Arabidopsis thaliana: one gene and its partners. The protein of the gene in region 2 interacts with the protein of the main gene of each other region in a pairwise test. Each region holds a gene or a part of one and is shown on either strand. Other genes may lie near its edges.

Region 1 (5,938 bases), on a different chromosome or scaffold from region 2:
ATTTGGGGATTAGCATTCTCTCAGGTGGTTGTTGATAAAAAAGAGATGAAAGTACTCTAGGGTTACTTGTAGTATATATAAACGCAAGCTCAATATGTTGGTCTGCTTTATACAGGAGCGGGACTTAAAAAAAGGAAACACTGAAAACCGACATACGAAAGAGACGTTGATATTATACCGAACAAAACCAAAAGGAAACATTGGTTGGTTTGCTTTGATTTCTCAAGGAAGAAGAGAGAATGAGTGAGATGTTGTTGGAGATTAGCATTCTCCCTCAGGTTTTCATTATTAGGTTCTTCCAAAATAAAAAGGAAACTTTCGATTGTTTCCTTCTTCAAGAAAAGACATAAACGCAAAAAAGTTTCTTTAAACTCGGGAGTCAAAACAAGTTTAAGTAAAGTCCTAAACCTGACAGACCTTCTAACACTAGCCATTCTCTCATAACCAACCCCAGTTTTGCTATGCATTAGCTTGAAAGCTAAATATGCTTTTCCCACTTTCCTCAATGCATTGATCATCAGATCGAGTCTCTAACTATACCTCCATGTGTGATGCTGAACTGAAGTAGCCAAAGTTAAGCGGCGCATAAGAGCCAGCCATTATTTCAATTTCTGTTAGTTGATAAACAATTTTTTACATTTTATTGGTTCAAAGTTCAAACCATTGTTTTTACACTTTATTCCACACACTATACACATGCAAGAGAGATCTAAGGGTCAGTTGTATGATTGGCGGTGAAGTCAGGCTCGGTGGGTTTTTGAGGTAGCAAAGGAAGAGTGTAGCGAGGAGGAAGGTTGGAGATATTGTGCCTCAGATTGTGAAGCGCGTTTGATGCGAAACGCGACGCGTAAAGAGCGCCTCCAAGGCTCAAGGACGACGACACGGTTGCAGCATTGTGTTCTTTATCTTGACTAGCGAGCGCTTCTCGGAGACGATCTTCTTCATCGCGTAGTGACTTGGCTAACTTCCTCCGACAGTATCTCCTCCACGCTGCTTGTATAAAAGACACGCTCCATGTTCTCCATTGCACTGAGTAAAACCTGTATATATAATCAAGATCCGGTTAAGAAGATCCAAAACCGAAAACAGAGCCAAAGAAGCTGATGGGAGTGACCGAACCGAAAAGTATGTTGGAGTTGCTTGCTATGGAGGCGTCTGAATTGTGAAGCGACAGACTTGAGATCCTCAGCTGTGAGAGCAAAGGCTTCGACTTCAGTGAGAGCTTGAACTGTTCTTGTCGAGATGGGAAAGTGAGAAGAAGATTGAGGATCTAATGCCCACGGGAGAAGATCTTCTCCGCAGAAATCACTTGCCTTTAGGTTCACGGCATTGAAGAACCCACTTCTTCCTCCATTAGTGGTGGCACTTACCAGTCTTCCTCTCATAACAAACAACATTTCCCCAACAGGATCTCCTTCACGGATCACGTAACTGTTCTCGGTGTAGAGCACAGGTCTTAGCCTATCGCAAACCGCGTCAAGTAACTGCTCATCCATTATCTCAAACAAAGGTACCTACCATAAACATCATATAATTTGGATTCTGAGGGTTCTTTAGTTCAGTTTATGGAAGAAAAAGAGAGAAAGCTTGTTACTCACTTTCTTGAGGAGATCGAGGCAAAGATGGCGTTTAATATCTCTTCTGAGGTCTTTAGGGAGGTTACGAAGAAGGGTTTCTTCTTCAACTCCTCTTGTCTCTTGCCATCTATATTGTTCATATCTTCTGATACGTTTCCTCAGGTCTTCAGGTAACATTCTATGAGACATCCACTGCTCTGCATCTCTCTTTCTCACCCTCATTTCCTCTTCTCGAACTGTTGTTGACTCCAAATATTTCTGCAACAGCAAACAAAAATTACATGCGTGTCCTGAGTAACTTATATGTAGCATTATGGAACAAGTCCAGAAAATGAGAAGCGATTATTTGAGGCTAATACCTGCATATTGCCGATAAGTAGAGCAAATAAGACTAGTCCAGATATGCAGATTGATATAGCAAATATGATTTCACCAACGAATTTGCTAGTTTGGAGATTCTGTCCCAATGCACTGCAACAACAAAAGCAACTTGTGAGAATGATGACTTGTTTAAATTGTGACAGATATATATGCTTAAGATGCAAATATAAACAGGTCATTTCACGGCTTAAAATCTCCAAATATAGCTAGTTAGTTATTGTCAACAGTTTTATGTGTGTCTTACAAACCTCAGATTTCGAAGACCCCACCAGAAGCAGTAGAAGAATTTCTTCCAGAAATCATGTGATTCAACAACGCCACTCTTAAGAGCATCAGTGAAGATGCCAAAGTTGAAGATGGTTGAGTTTGTTATATCACCAGGGTCGAGAAATGGGCAAGAAGTGGTCAGGAAATTGTTGCTAACGTTACGATCGTTTTCACAGTAGAGGAATTTCATATTACAACCTTTTGTCTTCTCGCATGCCTCTTGCCAGCATCTGTCTTCTCGTTCTACTGAGATTAAGTACCATAAAGCTCCAAACACCTGAATAAGTAAGTTTAACATATAACCTTTAATATGCATTTACATGTATAAAGATTCAGTCATCAAAAGATCCGAAACTCACATGACTGGCTAACATATAGAGAGAGAGGTTCCAAGCAGCTCCAGCCCATGCTGTTTCAGTAACAATGCCAGATGTTCTTGTCACTTCAGTGTAAAGCGGATACATACGGAGAATCCGAGGAACATATTGAGCAATTATGGAAAATTTAAGGTAGTCTTTTGTTAGCAAAGAGACTGGCTGGTTGACGCTTGGAATAACGGCTAAAACTACTATCTGCAAAAGTTAAGAAGCCAGAGGATTCAAAAAGAAATGATCATTGACATTTTGAACAAGTAATCAAACTAGTCATTTACCTGTGGGAGAGGAAGGATAGAGAGTAGATCAATGATGAAGTAAGAAGAGAGATACTTTAAGGCTATTGCCTTAGCATCATCTACCAGTTCACCTCTTCCAAAAACCCGCGAAGAAGGAGCGATGTAAGCTGTCCTGAACTGAAACACAATGTGAATAATGTAAAAGGCATCGATGAGCGTACGAAGCAAACTCGCAGCTATCTCCAACTTTGAGTCCAAAGTAAGACAGTGCCTTGCGCTATCGACAATGGGAATGTAGAAAAACAATGGATCAATCGCCAAAGCAACCACACAAGCAAATAAAAATATTTTGTTCCAGTTCTGGAGAAACGAATCCTGCGGGTTTATGATGTTCTTCCGAGTAACACTAGATGTTTCCTTGTGGTCAGGATCCTTATGTGAAGGGAAACTCAATGGCTTCTTGAATCCCCATTTTACATTCTTGAAAACTCTATCTAAAGAAGGTCTAGCTTTTCTTCCATAACCATATTCAGAGGATAATGGTTTGCCTTCATCTTTGAACCTAAACAAAATCATAAGAAAATGAGATAGTAGAAAAAATCATTCAACTATGAACTGTTTTCAAGATTTTCTGTAACTACCAACCTTACACGATTATCATGGCTAAATGCCATCAGCCAAACCCTTGTATATTTCAACTGATCTTTCGCTTACAGGGTGACGAGTCCTAACATTATAATAAGAACCAAAACTTAAGACATACGAATTCTTCTACATGATTACGTACAATGATAATCCCCAATACCAATTAAAAATAAGCAAGTAGACACCTAACTACAAATACAATTGTGTTGTGTGTATGTGTTTTTAAATATTTCTTTCTTGAAAAGGTTAATTAGAGAACCTAGAATCAGTCAATTTCCACCTAACATTAGATTATACCAAATCCTGTAATTCCTACCCATTCCTGCTCAATAAATGGAAACCACACGAACAACTTAAAAACACTGTTCATCAAAGATAAGAAATCCAAATTTCAAAAAACCATTGACCATAAACGAAAGACATATATCTAAGCGTTTCGGTTCTGAGAAACAGCAAAATAAATTCAGACGAAAAAGAACAAAAACGGAAATCGGAATCAAAATTCTATCATCAAACTAACCTGAAACGAAGTAGGTAACGGCGAGATAGTAAGATTCGGCTAATAAACGGAAGTCGGTGAACGGCGTTTTCTTCAATTCAAGCAACTGGTCCCGTCGTCGCTGGAAAGAGAGAGAGACTCATATGGCGGTTACTTGTATCTCTCTCTGTATATTGTTTCCTGGAAAAGTAGTATATGAGAATTTTATTATACGACAAAAAGGGAGGGAAAGAGGAATATTATGCAATTAAATATTATAAAGTCTGTTCAATTGAAAATCATTTCATAAAACAATTTCATTCAGATGAATGACTTGGTCAAAGTCAGACGGCGAGAATAAGCAAGTTGCCAAATTTTAAGTACCGGGCCCATTATGAATATTGAGCCCATTTAGATTCATGACCCAAAATGAAGTAACCGCCCCACCATATGTTCCTTATTTCTTTTCTCTTCACACTGATTTATTTTCTGTCGGAAAATACGGACGGCGTCGTCGTTCTTTTTGACGGTGTAGCTCACCGGCGTCGATTTTTAGATTTTTTTTTAAGGTAACATATTCTTCCTTGTGTTTAATCTCCATACTTTTGATCTACTTTTCGTTCTTGTTTAGTCTTTAGTGTTGTTCGAGCTTTTGTCTCCAATTTCAATCAATTCAAAGGGTTTTTAGATTCCAAATTTTGTAGCTTCCGTTGACACATCGAGTTGTCGAACTGTGTTTCGGATTGATCTGTCTGGAGCTTCTATTTCTGCTTCCTTATCTACTGTGAATGAAATTGCCACCGATATAGATAGTTAGCTAGGGTTTATTCGTGAGCTCGCGTAGATGAATTAGGAAGAATTCAGGTGATCATTTTTATGTTGCATTGTCTATTATTGTAACTGAATCTGGAGAAATTTTGATAAAATTGTTGTTTGACTCAGTGCAAACAAATTTACAAGTTTTCAGGAAATTGACTTAATACTAATCTTGAATTTTGCAGGGAAACACTAAGCAGCAAATTACAAGTGGGTGATTTGTGTTTGTTACATAGTCTTATATCTAACTATGTCAGATTCTGGTGAGCCTAAACCTTCTCAGCAAGAAGAACCTCTACCTCAACCTGCTGCCCAAGAAACTCAGTCTCAACAAGGTTACATATACTTCCTTCTATCTCAATTCTAGTTGTCGTCTCATTGAGATTTTTTCTTGTTCTTCGTTGTTAGCTAGAAATTTTCATTTACACTAATCAAATCATTCTTCTGTTTCAGTTTGCACTTTCTTCAAGAAGCCAACGAAAAGTAAAAACATAAGAAAAAGAACCATTGACGCTGATGAAGAAGACGGAGATTCGAAAAGCGAAAGCTCTATTCTACAAAATCTAAAGAAAGTTGCAAAACCCGATAGCAAGTTATACTTTTCTTCTGGACCATCTAAGAGTTCTACTACAACGAGTGGAGCTCCTGAGAGGTCCGTCTTTCACTACGATTCATCCAAGGAAATCCAGGTTCAGAACGACAGTGGAGCAACAGCAACCCTTGAAACTGAGACCGACTTCAATCAAGACGCACGAGCTATCCGTGAGAGAGTTCTTAAAAAAGCAGACGAAGCATTGAAAGGGAATAAGAAAAAGGCTTCTGATGAGAAGCTGTACAAAGGAATTCATGGATATACAGATCACAAAGCTGGGTTTAGAAGAGAACAAACAATCTCGAGCGAGAAAGCTGGAGGCTCACACGGGCCATTAAGAGCTTCTGCTCACATAAGAGTGTCGGCTAGATTCGATTACCAGCCAGACATTTGCAAGGATTACAAAGAAACCGGATACTGTGGATATGGAGATTCGTGTAAGTTCTTGCATGACCGTGGGGATTACAAACCAGGATGGCAGATAGAGAAAGAGTGGGAAGAAGCAGAGAAAGTTAGGAAGAGAAATAAAGCTATGGGAGTTGAGGATGAAGATGATGAGGCTGACAAGG
Region 2 (6,364 bases):
AAATGATTTCATCTTTAATCTTATTTTGAATGCATTCTAATAACTTCTGTTTGCTGTGGTTCTAGGTGTGGGATCTCAACACCTTGCAATGTAGAATGACCCTGAAGCAACATATCGGCACTGTCACTTCACTCTTATGTTGGGACAAGTGTCTGATATCGTCTTCCTTGGATGGGACCATAAAACTTTGGGCTTGTTCTGAAAATGAAAGTTTGAAAGTTGTTCAAACTCGCAAACAAGAACTGAGTGTTCATACTCTCTGTGGAATGCACGATGCAGAGGCCAAACCGATCATGTTTTGCTCTTACCAAAATGGAGCAGTTGGCATTTTCGACCTACCATCTTTTGAAGAAAGAGGAAAGATGTTCTCTACGCAGACGATCTGCACACTTACAATTGGTCCTGGAGGATTGTTATTCAGTGGAGACAAGAGTGGGAACTTGCGTGTATGGAGCTTAGCTTCTGGCACCAAAGTTTAGTCGTTTTAACAATTTTCGACTATTGATTTTCATTTAATTTGTACATATACATTGGTGGTTGATTCTAAATCCTTGCATTAATGTAATAACTTTTAATGTTGCCAAGATAAAAGAAAGTAATATTTTCATATCCGTTCTCTCATAGAAAGATGTTTATTTAACACAATTCCTTAAAAGATTTGTGAACTCCATGGAAGCTTCAAAGTTTTGTTCTGTATTCAAATTTCTTATTCTTCTTCTTTTGAAACTGAAAACGTGGGGAAAAAAAAGGAGATTTACAAGTAGAAAACACAAATCTACCAAATGGTATAATTTGTTTTTGGTCTTGAAGGAAGAATGCAAGCAAAACTGGACAGAATATATATCAACTAAGAATGTGGAAAGACACACGAATCACACAAACCAAATAATAGTGAACGCTCTTTGCATTTTGGCTTATTCATCTAGCTTTTCCACTTTTGTGTTTATCCAAGTGAGGAAATGCTTGTAGAATGTTATAAGCCCTGAGATCTTGCCTTGTTAAGATCCCTATCACAGGTGACATCTGCAACAACACAAGACACACGTTTAGTAGTGTTCTTGAATCTTGAATCAAGAGAGTAAAAAAGCAAACTTACCCCTGAAGCTTGAATCTTGGGAACCACCAGTAAATGTCTGAGACCCACTGACCGGAACAGAACCAAAGCTTTAGCCACTGACATACTTTGCACCACTGTGTAAGGTGTAGTGTTGGTCAAAGGATGAAGATCAACATACAATTGCATCTCTGAGCTTGTGATTGCAACATCATCGAAGTTATCTTCTCTCTCAGCTAATTCAACCGGTGTGAACTTTTCCCTAACTTCCCACTCTTCTGTTCTCCTTTTCTCATTCAAGAACCATCTCTTTTTCAGAACTTTCACAAGGTGAGCTCTTAGGATCAGACCATGGAGCTCTGTGCCAGTGTTTTGATCTGCTCCATCCAAGACTGGGAATGCGTTATGCGTTGTGTTCCTTAGTACATCGACTATATTTGCCACTTTTTCTACTCCGTTAAGTGTTACAACCGGAGGCTTAGCGTCGTTAAGCTCACCTACAGTGAGATTCCTCATCCACGGCTCTGGATTTGCTTCCAAGAAAGGTAAGCCCTTAAGATGGAGAATGATCTCGTAGATACTTAGATTGAAGCTGTCACCTACTGTTTTAGCTATCAGAAGCACAAACATTGTAATGGGCAACAAAAGAAGGTTGTTGGTGAGTTCCAGAAATATAACACAGAGTGAAACAGTCATTCTCATTGAACCAGCCATGAGTGAAGCTGCACCAAGAACCGCGTAAAGCCCTTGATCTATGTTTGTGTAAGACCCCATTGCTGTGCCTAGCATCCTACCGTATGCAGAACCCATGAGGATAATCGGTAGGAAGAGACCCGACGGTGTCGCTATACCGAATGTTATAAGACCCAAAATGCAGTAGAGGCCAAAGAATATCCAGAGAGAAACCATGCCAAACTCATTAGGAGTGTTTGAAGAGAAAATGTTTCTGACTGCATCATCATTGGTTGTGAGAAGCAGAGTGGATAGATCGTTGTAATAACCATTTGGACAGTTGAATTGCTTGAAATTTCCTGATCTTCCGTTTGTTGGACATATCTCGTCTATAGAAGGATCACAAGGCTTGCATTCCGCTAAGAAAGGAAGACCGAACAAGCAAACTGATGTGAATAGAGATACCCCAAGACTTAGAAGCACCTTATGAATCTTTCCCTTCCTACACCAAAATTTACCAAACAATGTTAAGTAAAAAGAAATCTTTAAGACTCTTGAACGTTCATAAACACTTACTGGTTGATGAGATTGTAAAGCCGGAGAACTTTATGCAGAAGATGATTGTACAAGCTTCCAAGAATGCCACCAAAGACTCCAATCAATGTGACTGGGATTATATCTGCTGCGTGGTACCTAACCTCTACATGACTCACATCGAACATAATGAGTCCTCCTGAGCCGAAAAGTCCGCATTTCCCGGAGTTACAAATCTCAATGAACGCTCTTAATACAACCACCACAACGGCTGTACTGAAGAATGTTCTCCACAAGAGAGCGCTTCTCCACCACGTAGCGACTTCCTCAAGAGCGAAAAGTACTCCTCCTACTGGTGACCTGAAAGCAGCACATACTCCAGAGGCAGATCCACATGTAATAAGATCTCTTCGATCTCTATCGTTGTTGAAGTAACGAAGCCATCTCCATTTGATTCTGTGATTATCTGGACCACCTTGACCAAGCAAAGAAGCTATGCAACTTCCAATATGAACCAATGGCCCTTCTTTACCAAGATCAAGTCCAGCTGCAACCGCTCCAATACTTCCAACAATCTAATCGGAAAAAAACCGCAAAATCCATCAGTAAAACAAAAGATCTCACACTAACTTTGTGGGAAGCTTCAAACTTTGTGAAGGTTTAAGAAACAAACCTTAACCATCATGGTGGTAAAACCAAACATATTGGGAGTGTCAATGCCATTAAGGTAAGCTTTAATCTCAGGGATCCCCGGACCAGCCGCCGTAGGAGCAAAGTAAACAACAAGTACTGTCGCCACCAAAGTCAGACCCAAATTCGCCCCCGTAAAGACCATCAGACCTGTCCAAAACCTATTTCAAAAACATAAACTTGTCATACAAGGTATCTCAATTTCTTGATCTTGACTGTTTTGTTTTTCAAGATTTGGCTGATGAGTCAATACCTATCTTGAGCAATGTAGTAGCCGACGGCGAGAAGTTTGTAACCGGCGATGTTTTCGACAGCAAGGTTGATGAGAGTAGCGATAAGACCAGTGAAGAGACCAACAAGACAAGCTAATGTCCATTTTAAGAATATGTATTGAAACACTTGTGCTTTTGATCTGCTTCTCCAGTCATGCTTGAACAGATCATTCTCGTTTATTCTGCAGAAATCCAAAATCTCAAATCAAAAATCTATACAAGTATATGTCTCCATCACTGATTATTTTCCACCAAGTTTAAGAAAAAAAAATATATGAAGATTGTCTGAAAACAGAGTAAAGATAAATAAACGTTATAGAAAGAGATTTGAGACCAAGACTTATCATACAACTAATAAACAAAAGGTAACCTAATTATCTGGATCTTGTACAAGATTTGGTTTATGATTGCTTGCGGCAAATTGAAAATGTGAGAAATAATTGAAGTATCACAACAGGTCATATGTCTCCATCACTAATATTTTCATTCTTCTTGTCAAAATTATCTCTAATATTTTCATAATTTATGTTCTGAAAATCAGGATAAAGATTTAAAAATTTATAGAAAGAGATTGAGACAAATAATCCATTCAATTTTATTTCTTTCTAAAATGAAAATTAGCTGAAAAAATAGTAAGATTGAAACTTTACAAAAAAAAAAGATAATGACAAACTCAATAAACCATCAGAAAGTGAAGATTTATCTGGAAACAGAGTAAAGCTCAAAACTTTATAGAATAAGGTTTTTTTTTTGTCACTCTTTATAGAACAAGATTAAGACTCATCCAAAAAACAATTCAAGAAAAGTAAAATTCGATATGAAAACAGAATAAGAATCAAATAATCAAGATCTAGAAGATAAAGAAGACATACTCATAATCTAAACTCTCGATGTGTGAAACCTTGGCACCGACCAAAGCAAGAGGAGTTGAAGAAAGAGTTCTATGTCTCTTAAGCAGTGGTTGATTCAAAGTGTTGTTCTCTGGATCTTCTCCTTCTTCTTCTCCATTGTAATTACTATTACTAATCTGCAAGTTTCCATCTTCATCCATCGATAGCTGTCTCTCTAATGATCCAAGAAACAATAAATAGGACCACTCCGAAAATTTATGAAAAGAAGAAGAAGAAGAACAAAAGTAGATTTTGGTTAGATCTTCAAGAGCTTTCTATCTATCTCTCTGTTACAAAACTACTTTTGGTTTGGATTTTCTCTGCGAATTTTGTCGTTTTTTCTAGAGAAACACTTTTATGAAGCTTTATAGATCTCTCTCTACATATGATACATGCATGCATCAATATACACCATTATATGTATGGTGATACAAACATAACATTTAATTTAAATGTTATTTGTTGTGAGGAGGAGTCACAGTGGGTGGATGGGTACCATATGCTATTCTCACTAAAGATAAGACAATCATTGGTCTATATTATATTGCCTACTTAAATAATATAACCTAAAATAAAGGTTGTCATCAAAAAAAAAAAAAAAAAACCTAAAATGAAGGCATGATATGTGTGTTTGTGTAGGCATCTACTATTCTCTAGCTATGTTTCAATCTGAATAGTGAATACAGTATATAGTTTTGAAATCCATTGTTGGTTTTGAAGTTAGAAGGAAGAAAGTTATAATTCTGTATACAAACCCTATATTAGTTTATTTATTCTTATCAATATTTTTAGTCCATTTTGTTGTGTGTACAAATCTACTTTGTCTTTAGCTATATACATACTTTTGTTTTACTCGTTTTTCATGTATATTAATACCCAAAATAAATTTGAAATTAGTTTGTGATTTTGACGTAGTTGAACAACGACGAATTTTTTTATATTGAAATAATTCTTATCCACTAAGGATATAACCCTTTTTGTGTGTGTAGAAATCGACTATTATCTAGCTATTAATTTGTACTCAATTTTTTTATTTCTTTCATTACAAATCAATATGTGATTTTGACGTAAAGTTGAAGAGGGAAAGAAAAATGATTTACATAAACATTAAGGTAACTTTTAAGAATTTTTGTGGCAGACATAAAATGTTTTACGTCGATAGTTCCAAAATCTTTGGGCGCATAGTGCAACTTGTATAATTTGGTTTCATAATAGGGTTTCTTGAAAAGTACTGTCAAAAATGCATATGTGGAAGTCCAAAAATACTACTCCATATCCCAAATTTCTCTAAGTAATAGTCCCTAACAACTATTAATATCACAATTAGTTATTTATTAATTTATCAAATACATAATTATTTTAAAATAGACATTTTAAATATTTTCATGAATTTCTTGCACAGACCAACGCTCTCCATACTTTTCCGTTTTGGATCGACAAAGACGGTTGCATGTGGATCTCTAAGGCATTGACAAATCTTTTCTGTTTTCATGTATAAAACTAATGATATTCAAACATTGTCCATAAAAAACATTACTCATAGAATACTCTACAATTTGCACTAGGGGACATAAACAAAATTTGTTTCGGTTGCTTGTGTACACATGGTAGATCACAATAATAATCTTCTTTTTAATTCCTTCATTTTTCATTATACATCACACATTACCTGAATAAGTAGCTTCTATCTTTTTTATTCTCCCATGTACTTTTTTCATATATCATTTCATCCGTTTTCATATAAATATCGATTCAAACTTTTTACTTAACTTTTAAAAATATGGAAAGAAGAAATCAAATATCAACATTTAAATAAGATTTTGTAATTATTTTTCTTCTAATTCATATAATTCATTCTTGATTCTTCATTGATCAGCCATTTGCCCATTTGGTTGCGTACTGGCCAAGTGACTATATCTCTCTTCTGTTAAATTGGTGACTTGTGTCAAATGACAACTCAGCCACTAGGTCTGACAGATCAGCAAAAACCTTTGTAACCAATAAGTATGAACATGTGTAATCTTACACATTCGTTCGATAATTCCAAGATCCAACGATCAAAAGAATTCCGACCCTTGAGGTCATCGAACAGCCCTTTTTAAATTTTCTCTTGTACGAGTATTTATCTCTAATCATTTATTCTCCAAACACGTGATTTATATATTCCGGACCCTAGAAACGTCCAATTGGAGAAATATATTTGACCACATAAACGTAGATATAATTAATCTTTAACATTATACGATGTTTTG
Region 3 (6,299 bases), about 15 Mb from region 2:
CTTTATGAAATCAATAAGATAAACTAAATCATACTTGATAAGAAATAAAAGTAGAAAAATGAAGACATCTTTAATAAACTGAAACTTTTTGTGCATGGTTCTTTGTTTACGAAAGTTCAATAGTACTATTGATATATAGAATATATAAATGCAAATAATAAAAGAATGTATAAATATCCTCAAGGAATTTGAAACAAGTGATTGTGAACAAAAAAATGAAAAAGAAAAGGTGATCTTGTTGGATATATATGAAGTTGCGGATAATGTCACGTATGTGTGTCCCGTGAGAAAGATGGGGACCCATCGTTTTCAATTGTACGCCATCTCGTATTTATGAGAGACCTATGTCTATCTAACGTTTCCATTTATTAATGTTATCTATCACATGTATATTTCATACGTGATCTTGCCTTATAGGTTTGACAAAGATTTGATCTTTCAATCTCAAAAACTTGTAACCTAATAGTTTGTACTGTATTTAAAAATATTGTGTGTTGTGAATTGTACACAACGGTAAAACAAAAATATCATCAGTTTCTCTATTCTCTCAACAGATTGACTTGCATATGACCGATTTCATTTTGGTCGTTCGTTAAACCAAAATACATATTCTTTTTTTTCCTAAAGTTGTATTTAATATTTTCTCATTAATATTTCAAACCCCCTCATGTAGAAAAAAAATTAGAGAGTTTAATTACATTTTGGTTCATGATGCTTTAGAAAACTAAACTAAATAAATACTTTTCACACTTCAATTAGCTCTTTCATGACTTGTCCATCTTTCACACCAAAAGATCCATTCGCTTCAGCATCAGAACTCGCATGAACGCCATAAAACAAATACACGAGCACGATCAAACCGGAGAAGAATCCAAACCGGACGTAAGAGGGTGCGTCCAACGAACCAAGCAAAAAAATGTTCAAGAATATCGACACGCACGGGGTCCACGGCATGAACGGGACTCCCCACAACTCAGGTTTCCTAGCCTGGGGAACCACGCACTGAAAGCTCAGCACGATGGCTATAGCCACCACCGCACTGGCACCGAGCATGAAAGCTTTAGGCTTACCTTCCGGCACAAGTTTCCAGATGAGGGTGAAGACGAGAGAGGTTATGGAGAATAGTGTGAGGAAGCAGAGTGTGGGCCACGGCTTGGTGGGTCCAACCGGGACGTAACGTCTGAAGATGAGAGCGTTTGCGACCATGTAGAAGACAAATAGTGTTCCAATGGATACGAGGTTTAGGAGGACGTTTAGGTCGGTGAAAAGCGCAAGAGCCGCCGTGAAAATGCCTGATAAGGGATAAAATATACGAACGTTAATAAGATTGGTCAATGGTCATATTCTCTATAACTGTAGATGATTCGACTAGTGAAAAAAGTCCAAATTTGAAATGAATGGTAGTGGGAGGATTTGTTCCTTTATTTTGTCTTTTTGTCAATGCTATTGATGGATATAGCAAATGTGAGTTAGTGGGTGCTAAAATTAGCAAGGATAAGGTTGAACGATGATGACCCCCTTTATAATGATCCATTTTGTGACAAAGGCATGAGAGTAACTTAATGAGGAAAACAATGCTTGTTACAAAGATTATGCATATAAATATGGCTCTAAACGTTAGTATATGTTTTCCAATCTTCTATGTATTTTATCAAAGATGGTCATTATTCTAAATCCTGGTACCTAACAACTCACGAGTTGCATAGCTCAGCCAGATGTTCCGGAAATTACGAAAAGTTGGAGTTGTCAAAATATCAGCCGACTAGGCTTAGTAGTATCTTCACAAAAAAAATGAAATAAAAAAATGATTGATTAACTACTAGTCGTCCAATGGATGACTAATAATCCAACTATCGTATTTTTATTTAAAAAAAAGTGGAATATGTATTTTTAACACTAAGGAGACACAAAAAGAACCAAAGAGACCCACCAAATCCATCACAATCAAGACCGTTGAAAAGATTGAATCTTTGAACAATCAAAAAACACGAAACTTTTCACAGAGCAGAAAAGAAAACCAGTGGTGAACAACGACATCTAGCAATCGGACTCAGATGCTCTCTCTGTGACTCTTGTCTTAAACACCATACAATGATACAAATCACATTGAACCATGTCCCTACATTGAGATATACTTACACAACGTACATAGCCCTTGTCACGATCGAAATCGATAGCAGAAGATTTTTAAAATGGTAACGTCCAAAAGCTTTTGATCTTTAAAATATATTGAAATGGACACGTATATATAATGAAATCACGTGGATCGTATGATTTAGAGAAAACGTTAAAAGTTCAAATCAATAAAAAGATCATGGAAACAACCGAAACGGTTCTCATTGGGGTCCCCTTTTAACCTAACTACTACTCCTCTATCTCACTTTCTGGACCAAAATTTATTTTTAACTATATATGATTTGATTATATTTCATCATTGTTTGTTTGACAGTAATTAAATAAATGTTTTTTTGATGAATGAATGAAGACAAAGAAACGTACCAAGAAAAGTGGAGGCGTTGACTGGCGTAGATGTTTTGGGATGAATCTTAGCGAACCAAAAGGGGACCACTCTGGACCGTCCGATGACACACATGTAGCGAGCCTGACCTAACATTGCCACCAAAAGTGATGTTAATATCCCAAAGCTTGCTCCTATCCCCACCACTTTCGTCACCCATTCCCAGCCGTTCGATCCTCTGAACGCCGCGGAAAACGGCGCCTCCGGATCTATCTGCGTTACAACAACACATGCCCCGCCGTTTTCAGCTTTAGACTCAGACTACGTGCCGTCTTTATGAAAACGGAAATATACAATAAGAAAATAATAAATTTGAAGTACGGACCAGATCGTATGGCAGAAGCATTGACATAGAGACTGCCATGAGACAGTAAAGAACGGTGACGATTGCGACGGAGCCGGAAACACCGACGGGGATATCTTTGACCGGATTTTCAACTTCTTCCGCCATGGTTGAAACGGCGTCGTATCCTATGTAGCTTAAGTAAACCATGGCAGCTCCGTTGAAAACTCCCGCCGCGCCGAACGGAAAAAATCCCGAGGGGTGCTCTGGATTCGCCGGTGAGGATAGATTCTTTGAATCTCCTTTTATGAATCCCATCACGATCACGAAGAATATGAATGCGATGTGAAATGCAGTCATTATCATGTTCACTTTGGAACTCTCTCTTGTACTGCAACAGATGATGACTGTGATTACGAGGACGACGAGAACTGCGACTGGATCAATCTCGTTGAATCCTTTCGGTAAACCGGAGACGACGAATCGCCACTTGGAAGTTGAGATCCCGAAAGCTGTTCCTAAATAAGCGGTGAAGCTTCTCGAAACGGCCGCGTTTGACATTACGTAATCCATTACAAGATTTGCTCCGGTGAAAAATGCTGGAAATTCACCTGAACGGAAATGTAACAGAAAAGAAATCAGTTACGGTTTTTGATTTTGAAATTAAAATTTTCAGAAAACCGTGAACAGATCGGAGGAGTAGTGATGATTTTCGCGGGAGACTAACCGAATGTGATACGGATGTAGCTGAAGGCACCGCCGGCGACCGGGAGATGGACGGCGAATTCGGTGTAACAGAAAGCGGAGAGGAGAGCGCAGAGCCCGGCGATGGCGTAAGAGACGACAATTGAAGGACCGGCGTCGAGACGACTAGCACGGCCGGTGGTGACAAAGACACCGGCGCCGACCATTCCCCCGATTCCGAGTCCAATGAGATCGTACCACCGGAGAGTACGGCGCATCTGTTCGCCGGAGACGGCGCGGACGCGACTCATCTCGTCGGAAGAGGTGGAGACGGAAATAGCGCGGCGGGATAAGCGAGAAGGCGTCGCGGAAAGAGAGTTGAGGTAGACGCGGAGACTGGAGAAAGAAGAGTGACCACCATTGTTGCTGCTGCTTTGGACCTCCATTTTCTCACCGGCCAGATTCGGGTCGGGTCGGTTTGTGTGAGAATTTTGTTGAATTTGACAAGAGTTGGTTTTATATTAGAGATTAGGAAAAGTGAAAAAGAGAAGGATAGGGACAAAGATGTAATTATGACGATACTTAAGGGCATTTAAATGTTATAAGTATTGTTATTAACAACAAGATTGTTCCCTAATTCTTATATTCACATTAATCACATAAGCATCATCAGCTCAAAAGCTTACTAAACCCAAGATGCTTTATCTCTTTGGTCCAATTACAGTTACATTTATATATACTAATTATGCTAACGCTTTTATTGATTCATATACAAATCATAAACTAGTTTGGTAGTATATAGTATGTATTCACATCTAGCTAAGCTTGTAAACTATTTTTGTTGACCATAAACCACTAAAATTGGTATTTTATTAAATATCATTAGACTGCTGAGTTGTAACAGAGTGGCATTTCCTATGGTTATCTTATTTTGTTTTGTTTTTTAAAAAATAGGAAAAAAATGAATTACGGTTTTTATTGAAGAATATTCTTTTTTTTTTACTACTTATCATTAATTGTTAATAACACTCTTTATTGTTTAAATTTATAGATTTGTACTCAATTATTTATATTTAAAAAAAATATCTCAACACTATAACACCATATAAACATTCTAATAAGATATGTTTTTAAACAACATTATTAGTATATTTCAAAATGGTCAAAATATTTCGAACCTGAGAAATGAACTTTTTAATCATAAATATGTCATTGGAGAATCATTCCCACATTTTTCCTTGAAATGAGGGTCTAAAATTGATGTTATTATAGACAAAATTTTGTAATTGCGTTCCTTGTAATTGATAGGGAATTAGTACTAATTAATGAAATTAATACCATAATTGTGTCTATGACTATGATCGGTTGTTTGAAACGTAACGACTCTCTGCTTCAAAAGCTCTTCCTTACTTAGTTCCCGAGGTTATGAAACCGTCACGGACGTTAAAAAGAAAAAACTAAACAAACGGCGTTAACTTCCGTATATCATAAGACACGGTAACGACGTTACCTCTAACGGCTATGTGTGGTTTAAGATTCACACGTGTGGCAAAGAAGGTGACACGTGGGATGTTGTTTTGTTTTCAATGGATAAGCACACAGGTTTAAAGCGAAGCGTGACCAGAATTTGAGGAAATGAGTTTTTGTAATTAGTTGGTTCTTTTCGACAATCTTCTCATTTTTTATAGTTGGCAACTTGGCATTACTAGGAAAATATTATCGCATATTTGCAGCTAATTAAGGTCTTCTTCAACTGATTTTGTCTCTGCATTTAAATGTTTTAAAACGAGGACACGAATAGTTTGGTACTTAGAGGAATAAATAACCGCAAATCTTGTGTTGGTACAGTTTGTAACTTAGTAATTTGTTTTAGTGTTAGTGCCGTGTTATTTGATAGTATGTGTGAGTGGTAATATGCATGAGTGAGTTCTTGAAAAAAAAGATGAGTGATCTGTTCTCTGTGATAAGGGCAACGCAACATGTTTGCAGGTTGTATCATGATCCTGATGAGTATTCTCCATAGAGAAATCGGCATTAGACTCGACGCTTTAAGATGAAGAAGAAGCAATGGATTGACTGATTTTATTTTCATGGGTCGAACTCGGAGCCTTTGATGCTGTTCACTGAAATCCAAAATCCAAAATCACCAACACCACCAACTAACCGCATGTGTATATGTAATCCAAAATCAACACTATTTTTACCACACCAAAACTCACTATAAGGTTAATTCGAATAGAACTCATCTAACCATCTATGAAACTTGATTAAAAAGTGTTGTAGAATGATTTGTGTATGTTTATGTAAAAGTTCTATCGCTCCCAATCATACCCGTAACTGGATACACGTTGCAATTGATCTTTTTATTTTTTGGTTGGCCGCGCACTGCATTGAATTAACACTACCTTATCCAAACAAATAGTATTAAATATCTACTTCAATCGAACACTCTTAAGCCTCTCTTTGTTCACAATAATGATAATTAGATTAGTGTCAGCAACGTTGACACATATTCGTATCTACAACACACATACGCATACATTTATATATAAATTAATTTCGACAAGAATAAATTATGACTTGTATGGTCACCAATAAGTCTCACATTTTTGGGTACACAAAAGAGTAATAATGAAATAAATAAAAAAGATAATGTGGAGTGGTTTATACAGTGAGTGGGATGGTCAAATCTGAATTTTAGATAAGATGCAAAATTCAGGTTGCCTCAATCCGACCACGTCTCACACGCCCTGTGCCAGACCTGCCCATCTCTGTTTTCCCTATAGTATTTTTTTCTAATTGAAAAATACAAAA

The links.
Region 1: the proteins of CLC-A (region 2) and CNGC10 interact in a protein complementation assay, tested with the Arabidopsis thaliana proteins (one large-scale study listed by BioGRID).
Region 3: the proteins of CLC-A (region 2) and CAT6 interact in a protein complementation assay, tested with the Arabidopsis thaliana proteins (one large-scale study listed by BioGRID).

What each region holds. Positions count from the first base shown.
Region 1 is NC_003070.9:131,705-137,642, forward strand, and holds CNGC10 (cyclic nucleotide gated channel 10), read right to left. Parts: upstream 4,221-5,938; 5' UTR 4,004-4,220; intron 3,619-4,003; exon of another isoform or gene 3,566-3,618; 5' UTR 3,513-3,565; coding exon 3,484-3,512; exon of another isoform or gene 3,415-3,483; coding exon of another isoform or gene 3,401-3,414; coding exon 2,878-3,400; intron 2,798-2,877; coding exon 2,585-2,797; intron 2,503-2,584; coding exon 2,207-2,502; intron 2,049-2,206; coding exon 1,937-2,048; intron 1,836-1,936; coding exon 1,599-1,835; intron 1,515-1,598; coding exon 1,120-1,514; intron 1,041-1,119; coding exon 710-1,040; 3' UTR 566-709; downstream 1-565. Other genes in the region: AT1G01350 (Zinc finger (CCCH-type/C3HC4-type RING finger) family protein), read left to right, coding at 5,028-5,112, 5,231-5,938. UniProt on the Arabidopsis thaliana protein: Probable cyclic nucleotide-gated ion channel.
Region 2 is NC_003076.8:16,380,727-16,387,090, forward strand, and holds CLC-A (chloride channel A), read right to left. Parts: upstream 4,699-6,364; 5' UTR 4,274-4,698; coding exon 4,095-4,273; intron 3,779-4,094; exon of another isoform or gene 3,405-3,778; coding exon 3,204-3,404; intron 3,112-3,203; coding exon 2,934-3,111; intron 2,836-2,933; coding exon 2,303-2,835; intron 2,229-2,302; coding exon 1,097-2,228; intron 1,024-1,096; coding exon 919-1,023; 3' UTR 590-918; downstream 1-589. Other genes in the region: AT5G40880 (WD-40 repeat family protein / zfwd3 protein (ZFWD3)), read left to right, coding at 66-479. UniProt on the Arabidopsis thaliana protein: Voltage-gated chloride channel that could play a role in the regulation of nitrate content.
Region 3 is NC_003076.8:1,376,750-1,383,048, reverse strand, and holds CAT6 (cationic amino acid transporter 6), read right to left. Parts: upstream 4,429-6,299; 5' UTR 3,932-4,428; coding exon 3,529-3,931; exon of another isoform or gene 3,413-3,528; coding exon 2,844-3,412; intron 2,732-2,843; coding exon 2,500-2,731; intron 1,779-2,499; coding exon of another isoform or gene 1,747-1,778; exon of another isoform or gene 1,293-1,746; coding exon 745-1,292; 3' UTR 571-744; downstream 1-570. UniProt on the Arabidopsis thaliana protein: Permease involved in the transport of the cationic neutral or acidic amino acids.